2 linked regions of the Sus scrofa genome follow. The protein of the gene in region 2 binds, or shares a complex with, the protein of the main gene of each other region. Links are inferred from orthologs where the notes say so. Each region holds a gene or a part of one and is shown on either strand. Other genes may lie near its edges.

Evidence for each region.
Region 1: the proteins of AAGAB (region 2) and AP1S3 are in contact, whole or in part, in a crystal structure (PDB 9DDT), measured with the Homo sapiens proteins. The link is inferred for Sus scrofa from reciprocal best matches to the Homo sapiens genes AAGAB and AP1S3. Residues at the interface, in NP_078942.3 of Homo sapiens: Asn51, Lys52, Tyr53, Tyr54, Glu108, Val109, Met110, Ile111, Gln128, Ile132, Gly135, Phe136, Glu137, Asp151, Phe153, Pro154, Glu155, Arg161, Gln164, Ala165, Asn167, Ala168, Asn169, Val170, Met176; in NP_001034658.1 of Homo sapiens: Arg10, Gln11, Lys13, Arg15, Gln37, Leu40, Ser41, Arg61, Tyr62, Ala63, Ser64, His85, Val88, Asp92, Phe95, Val98, Glu100, Leu101, Asp102, Ile104, Phe105, Asn106.

Annotation. Positions count from the first base shown.
Region 1 is NC_010457.5:125,634,376-125,638,917, reverse strand, and holds the start of AP1S3 (AP-1 complex subunit sigma-3), read left to right. Parts: upstream 1-1,702; 5' UTR 1,703-2,011; coding exon 2,012-2,131; intron 2,132-2,445; exon of another isoform or gene 2,446-2,613; coding exon of another isoform or gene 2,614-2,616; intron 2,617-4,542. UniProt on the Homo sapiens protein: Subunit of clathrin-associated adaptor protein complex 1 that plays a role in protein sorting in the late-Golgi/trans-Golgi network (TGN) and/or endosomes.
Region 2 is NC_010443.5:165,137,406-165,141,210, forward strand, and holds part of AAGAB (alpha- and gamma-adaptin-binding protein p34), read right to left. Parts: intron 1,924-3,805; coding exon 1,841-1,923; intron 1,002-1,840; coding exon 905-1,001; intron 1-904. UniProt on the Homo sapiens protein: May be involved in endocytic recycling of growth factor receptors such as EGFR.

The sequences.
Region 1 (4,542 bases), on a different chromosome or scaffold from region 2:
AAGGAGTTTTCTAAGAACATAAGGCCTCCGACCACAAGTTTCCCCATGACGAGGTGAATTCCTGAACGCTGCAGAAGAGATTACTGGAGATGTTGATTACTTAAGACATGAACAGCAAGGCATTCAAGAACAGCGGGGTCAGGCTTCAATCAAACGTGTGCTGCCCTGGAGGAAGGGTAAGAGCTGGTTTTGAAGCTGGTGTCTCCTTTGCTTCTTTTATTTTTTTTTTAAAACTTGTAGCTTGACTCTTCTCAATTTCTAGAAAGCTGATATTTTGGTTTAGACTATCATCATTTTTGCTTTATCATCATGTTCTGTTTGTAACTCCAACCCTCCCTCTCCCCCCGCTTGGACTCCATGGTGGCTTTTTCTGTATTCGCGGTATCTTCCGTTACTACACAGTTATGGAGTGATTTGAGAAGTGAAACTCAAATCAAGTTGACACAACACCAGGGCTTTGTGTTGCGAGTAGATGTCCACGCCCAGAATCACACACATCAGCTCAGAGATGGCTTTGATCTGAACCATGTCACATACCACACCAGGCTCCCTGACTTAGGCTTATGACAGCAGATTTGCAAACCAAAGGCCCCTTCAGGATTGGACCATCTTCCCAGTGGAGCATTTTGATTTACAGGGCCCCTGGGTCCTAGAGTTCTCTTGACAGATGCCACCACCCCAGGTGGAAGCTATCAGGAGGTTGTTAGGTTTGCCGAGGGAGGATCGCTCAAGGCCAAGTTAGCAGAACAAAGGGGATTTATTAAGGCATCAGAGGAGCACAGGCTGAGCTCAAAATAGCACCAGCTCTGACCATAAAGAGATGTGGATATTTTCCGCAGGCCACTGTTTCTTGCTGCCCAACTTGAACCTCCACATTCCGGGAGAGGGTGTCCACAGCAGGTCTCCAGGGTGAACAGCCACCTCTGAGGGTTGGGGGGGGGGTCCTGTCCGATCCCCCTGGGAACCTATCAAAGGCCTGCGGCATTGAAAAATCCAGGACCAGGAGGCACTTGAGCTTACTGAGAATTTGCAGGACGAAGGCTGCAGTTGTCTTGGGGGCTTTTAGTGCACAGGTTGCCTTAAGGCAGGGAAGACCCATTGCCTCCTGCCCACCCTCTGACCTCCTCTAATTTAACTCCAGCCCCAGAGGCCCTCTTTGGGGTCTTTTGAGAAGGATGACTCTTTTTTTTTCCCCCTTCAGAGCACTCACCTCCACATCTCATGTCACCTCCTCAGGGACCAGCCCTCCCTGACGCCCCCGCTAAATAAATGCAGCTTCTGCTGTGCAGGTTCTAGCAACCTGTAGGCATTTTCGTGGTAATCTTCTCACCTACTTAGCACTCGTTACTTTGTAATTATTTATTTTGGTTATTATTCGCTGAGCCACGAGAAACTATAAGCTTCAGAAGAGAGCAGCTTGTTTGTTCCCAGCTGGACCCCTGCGCTCCTTCTGAAGGGCTGGGCACAGAGAAAGCGCTGATGAATGTGGCATCATCGAACGGGTGGATGCCCCCGCCCCCTGCGCCGCGCAGAAGGCACATCCTGAGAAGGACTTTCACCAATTTTGGTTCCAGAAACTCAGGCAAAGTTTCTTAACCTTTTTGGGGTCACACATGTCTTTAGGTAGTTGATAAAACCAACCGACTCTCCCAAACGAACATAAAATGCACTCCAAGCTCTGCTTACAATTTGGGGGTTTGGAAACTCCTAAGGCCCCAGGTGGAAACTCCAATCTTAAGAAAATCCAAGGGGAGGAGTAAGATTAGATACTGGACGCTACAGTTTTAGGAGATACCTCTTAAAACCCGGCCTATCTGAAATGACCCACATCCTTGTACTGCAGCCATATGTGTATTATACATACACGTGAGAAGAAAGAAATCGGAGGCAAGAAATCGCTTCTAATTCTAGCTCCGCCAAAGGCTCCCTCCCTTACGCGGTTTAGGACTACAAAACCAGTGACCCTTCCCGAACGCGTCTCCGGAAATCTCTTCGCTAGGTCTGCTAATGAATGACACACTCGCTCGGCAGAATCAGGAAAGCAGCCCCGCTCCGGTTTCCCCGCGCAGATCTGCTCTGCGGGGTCCACCAACGCCGGGCAGGGCAGGCCAGGTTGCAGAGGCGCGCGCAGGTATATTCGCACCTAAGGCAGCAAGGACAGCGCGGGGCGGGGCCCGATGCGGGCGCCGGGCGGGCGCGGGGCGGGAGGAGGGGGAAGAACGCGAAGCACAGTGGGAGGAGGGAGAAAGGGGGAGGAGGGAGAGAGGGGAGGGGGAGGAGGGAGGAGAGAGTCGGAGAGGGGAGAAGGGGGAGGAGAAAAGGGGAAGATGGAGACAAGGAAGAGGAGAAGGAGGAAGAGGAGAGGAGGAGGGGAAGGAGGGAGGTGGGAGGAGGGAGCGGGTAGGGAGGGAGATGGGAGGGGCAGGAGGGGAGGGAGGGTAGCGGCGCAGGGAGGAGTCTGCAAACTTTCACTTCGAGGGCATTGTGGGAAGCAGCCATGGTCTGAGGCGGGCACCGCACCTGTCAGCCGCGCCGGCTCCAGCGCTCGCTTCTCCTCCTCGCGTCCACCGCGCTCGCCTCTCACCCGCCGGGGATACCGGCGGCCGGGCCACCATGGTGAGTCCGGGTGAGCAGGGCGGTGGCGCCGACCCGGGGCGGGGACAGCCTGTGTGCGCGTTCCCGGGAGGCACCTGCTGCGCCGGGCCGGGCGCGCGGTCGGGTGGGGTAGTAATCCCATCCCGCCCCACCACCCCCCAACCCGTCCCACGGCCGGCGGCACGCCCAGTGGTCCCGGCGTGGCGGCCGGATGGTGCGGATGCGCCCGGGGCACCGTGGACGCCAGGTCGAGACTCTGGGCGCCGCTGCTTCATTCATTCGACGGGTTTGCTGAGCGCTTATTCTGTGCCAGGCACGGTGCCAGGCTCTGGAGGTGTCTCGGGGGACCAAGTGGAGCCCTTGCTTTTAGGGGCTTACCTTCTAGGAGGAGGATGTGGAAGGGGGAGATGAGGAATATATCAGTAAAATTAGGATAAGTTCTGAGAGTAAGTGTTCTGAAGTCTCCAGTGGAACCGTGTGGAGAGATCGAGATGGAACTCTACAGAGGGCATGCAGAGAAGGCCTCTTCCAGAAGGTGACATCTGAGCTATTGGAGATCCTAGGGGAGCAGGGCAGGTAGTGGGAGCAGAGAGAGCAAAGGCCAGAGAGGAGGAACCCCTGCTTGTAGCGAGAAAGATGGGCAGGGGCCAGATGAGGTAGGTCCTTATAAACCAAATTAAGGAGCGTGAATTTTATTCCAACTGAGTGGTGGAGCTTTGAGAGTGTTTTAAGCAAGAGAACTGACTTTATCCCTTCTACGCTTTTGAAAGATCGCTTTGGCTGTTTGTAGAGAGTAGGCTGGGGTATGTGTGAGCGGAGGATGTCAAAGTGGAGACAGGGAGACCAGTTTGCAGTGCTTCTGGTGAGAGATGCTGGTTGCCTGCACTTGCATTGAAGCAGTAGCTTTAGGCGCCTCTTGTTCTTGCTTTCTGTTTAGGGTGGTGTTTTGAGAGTGCAGTGGCCTGAACTGCCCCAGTTCACTTCCCCAGGTGAGCTCACTTCTCCAATTGAGGTGGGACAAAAGTGACCTGCATTCTCAACTTGAGTACCGGCCACAGGCAGGAGCAGGAGGACCATGTGGGTTAAGAAAGTTGATGGACAAGGAGAGCAGTGGAGTGCTGAGCCTCTGAATGGGAAGACCATAGACACTAGTTCCTAGGAAAGGTTTGGCTGCACAGACTGGACTCGCCATTGTTGTTTGTGGAGGATTGCTTGTAAATACAGCGTGATGCAAAAAGGAGGCTGTAAATAATGGAGCAGTTCTCTTGGCTTGCTCAGGTTTCCCAAGGGACAAGGCGACATGTGTGCAGCCCGCCGTATCATTTGCCTAATAGAGGGTGGAATAAGGCCCTGGAGTTTCTGAGTAGCAAAAAACTTCCATCCTGAGAGCCCGTGCAGACTCTATGCTCTGGACAACACCTTCGAGTTTTATTTTTTCTTGCTGGTGTCAAATAATTAGTTGATGAGAAATGTGCCGTGCTTCCCTAACTTCTTTACTAGAACTTACCCACCGGGAAATATTGATGTTACCTACTGAAGGCTTGTGATAACCAAGCAGGACACTCAGCTCTTTACCTTCATGATCTCAGTCAGTCCTTGTAACAAACAACCAAAAGAGGGTATTATGCTCTTTCACTTCGCCTGCTCTGACCTGTCCCAGCAATGTGTCCTTGGATCGCGCCTTGACCTCTCTGTGCCGCTTTGCTCATTTGTGAAATGGAGATTATAATTGTGGTCTGGGTACCCTTAGGAGTCCCCAAGAGTTTTCAGAGGTCCACAAGGTCAAAACTGTTTTCATAATAGCTCAAAGATATTATTTGCCTTTTTTTTTTTTTTTAGGGCTGTACCCATGGCACAGGGAGGTTCCCAGGCTAGGGGTCAAATCGGAGCTGTAGCTGCCAGCGTAAACCACAGCCACAGCAACGTGGGATCTGAGCCACGTCTGCG
Region 2 (3,805 bases):
ACATAAAAGAACTTTAAAAGGATATGAGAGGGCTTATAAAGAGGTGTTATTCTTGTTACCATCAATTCTGACTACTGTGAAATAGTATTAAAAAAACTGTATGGGAGTTCCTGTGGCACAAAAGGATCGACAGTGTCCCTGTAGTAGCGGGGACACAGGTTTAATCCCCAGCCTGGCATAATGAGTTAAGGATATGGTGTTGCAGCAACTGGAGCGTACGTAGCAGCTCCAGCTGGGATTTAATCCTTGGCCCGGGAACTCTATATGCAATGGGGTGGCCAAAAAACAAACAAACAAAAAAACACGAAAAAGAACCAAAAACGGTGGAATATGGAAATAGAAAGCTATTTCACCATCTGTTTCTGTCTGTTTTGGCTAAGATGATCTGAATCAAGATCCTGCTAAGAGAATCAAGAAGAAAATGGTACCTACAGGTCTGTAATGTATTTACTCTCCCTCCTTTTTTTTCTTTCTTTCTTTCTTTTTTTTGCTTTTCAGGGCTGCACCTCGGCATATGGAAGTTCCCAGACTAGTGGTCAAATCGGAGCTACAGCTGCCGGCCTATACCACAGCTACAGCAACACCAGACCCAAGCCGTGTCTGTGACCTACACCACAGCTCACAGAAACACCAGATCCTTAACCCACTGAGCAAGGCCAGAGATCGAACCTGCAACCTCATGGTTACTAGCTGGATTCATTTCCGCTGCACCACAATGGGAACTCTTCTCCCTCCTTTTTCTGACATCCGTCCACAAGGCTCACAATTCATTTGGGGTGCACTATCAATTTTCTTCCCTTGTCCGTGTTTAAAGTCAGTTCCCCCCCAGATGATTTATGCCCCGATACATGGACTATTATAAGTCCCACAGAGCTGTCACTTGGCAGCCAGAGGAGGGGCTTACCCACAATGCTATCGACCTGAGCGTCTGCTGTGTTAGATGCGCCACCTCGATGATCCAAGAGAGCTTCAGTCCTCTCTGCTGCTGGCAAACAGGGCTGCTGTTGAGGAAAACACACGCAAGCAACAATTTAAGAAGCTGCTTCAGAACTAAATCCAAAAAGGCTCACACTTCCACCCACTGGTTAGCTTTAGAGAAGTAGAAATAGGAACTAGAGACCAGGAGAGATGAAACAAGGATCAAGGTCACATTAAGAAAGGCTAAAAGACCACTAACTCAGGAGTGTTTTTCCTCAAGGAAAAATTAGCAAGTGTTGTGATTTTGCTATTGACTATTAAAACATACTGTTTTGTTTTAAGATCATGCTTTTTTTTCAAAATCTGAAAATGTGTAAGATCCTATCACAAAGACCTCAGAGACTGAGGAAGAAGGTCCTGGAAAGACAACATGGCACTGCCGAACGTGCTCATGGCTTCTACCTGCCGACCACAGCCGTCCTGGACCACAGTCCTTGAGGACAGAGGGTTGAAATCAGCTTATTAAACTCATTAAGGGCAGGTACCTTGCTTCAGGTTGTAGAGTACACAGGAAGTACTTAAAAAGAACCATTAATTTTATTTTATATTTAAAGATCTAGAGGCAACTTTATGCCTCAAGGAAATCCTGGCATATTTTTAAAAGCACTTTAGCAAAAACACATGCAACAGCACAAATTGCAAACATCTTGAAAGGGCTTACTGCTTTAATGCCTAAATAGCCTTTTCTCAATAGGTGGCAGGCATAAAAAGGGCTATTTTAGATTAGCCTTCTATCTATTTCTAATATTCTCAGTCACTTCTTAAATGGAAAGGGAAGAAATGATAAATGGTGTAAAGATTCACAATGATGAGTAGAAATTAAAGCCAAAGCAAAGAAAAGATCCAGGAAAAAAATCTCTACCTCTGAATGGCAGGTGTCTGCTGATCCAATGTTATGGTTTGCTCCAGCCAATGAGCTAAGAAGGCTAAAGCCTTGGTTCTTCTCTGAAAAGAAAAAAATACAATCACTGAAATTTTTTATTTACATTTTAAATTGTTAAAATGACTGTGACAATAACATAATAGTTAATAATAAAATTTCTAACTATAAAAAATAGTTATCATCATTTACCATACTCTCCAAATTCTGGGTAAATTTTAAATCACAGAGTATCAGTCCAGGTCAAGTAGATGGCAAGGCCATTACAACAAAGAAAAGGTTGCTCAGTGGTTCTGTTTGCAAAGATTAACAGAGCTGGTGTTCTGACAGTCATTATGAACTAATATTGCAGTGTTTTAAACAATTAAAATTAAAAAGAATCAAATACCAAGGTATTATTATCAGGTAAAAATGAACATTCATGTTTTTTTGAAATAAAGCTCTACTCGTGCAGTTATGGTTCCCAATGCTCTCGCTATTTGTATTTACAAAGGAGGACAAATCTAGAGCAAAATGTCAGAACCCAGCCCTGATTTGGTAGGGTTCCCCAAGAGTCACCTGGACAGTGACTACCCCAGTATTGAATATTGACCCTGCTTTGGACTGAGTTAGAATTTCTGTCTAAACAGAGACCAAGGAGTCTGAACTTTTAGCAAGTACTCCAGGAGAGTCCTTAGGATCAAGAAAATTGGAAAAACAAAAAACCAGTGCGCCTGAGAGTAGAAAGTGAAACCTACATCACTCAAGAGTCTAACAGTATAGAGGTCAAAGAACTCCTCTCTCAAAAAGGCTTCTTCCCACCTCACTTTCCTCTCCCTATCACTTCCCTGACTCCATTCTCACCCATCTCTCAACAACCTCCAAACTTCCTAGTCCTCGCCTCTGGTGGGTGAAACCTGTTGACAGAACCCCACAGAAAGAAAACCACTTGCAGGCCCCTCACTCCCATTTTAACTTGGGGAGATTTGCCTTTAAATCAGGATGAAGCCCAACTGTAGCATCGGGGAGGTCCAGGCCTGAGCTTTTTCCATCTCCTGTTACCATCTCCTCATGTAGTACACTTGGCCTACTTGTACAGAGGTACTAACCTGGTCGGTACCTGTGCTTGAAGGCTAGGGGGGCGCTGGGCAGTACCCAGGGTCTCTGCTGCTCTCTGCGCTTCCTGCTCCACAACCTCAACAGTGGCAGTGGGGTGAAAGGTGTGCACGTACTCCTGGAGTCCCCTTTCTTTTTTTTTTTTTTTTTTTTTTTTTTTTTGTCTTTTTGTCTGTTGTTGTTGTTGCTGCTGCTATTTCTTGGGCTGCTCCCGCGGCATATGGAGGTTCCCAGGCTAGGGGCTGAATTGGAGCCGTAGCCACCGGCCTACGCCAGAGCCACAGCAACGCAGGATCCGAGCCGCGTCTGCAACCTACACCACAGCTCACGGCAACGCCGGATCGTTAACCCACTGAGCGAGGGCAGGGACCGAACCCGCAACCTCATGGTTCCTAGTCGGATTCGTTAACCACTGCACCACGACGGGAACTCCTGGAGTCCCCTTTCTCAGCAACCTGCCCACCCATGAGGAACTCTGCAGGCCCAAGACCTGGGGGAGCCCCATCCCAGGACCAGGCTTCAGTGAGGCAGACTGGGGAGACTCAGAGGCTGAGACAAGTGTCCCACACTGAGGGTTTCACAGAGCCTGGGGGTGTTCATTCAAACACTGACATAATCTTTTCTTGTGGCCAATGTGCTATAGGCTTTAAAGCAGTTGTATGCAGTTATACAGTATTCTGGGATTTTACATGTCAGGAGGATACATGAGAGTTCTTATAAAATACTTTAGGCTCTTTGTACAAAAGGCATTTATCTGAGTAATAGAGCACTGATGCAAGAGGGCCCTTACTTCTATTACTGGAAATAACTTGGACTTTGGGTAATTTTCAAATCAGCTCACAAATCTCTCCG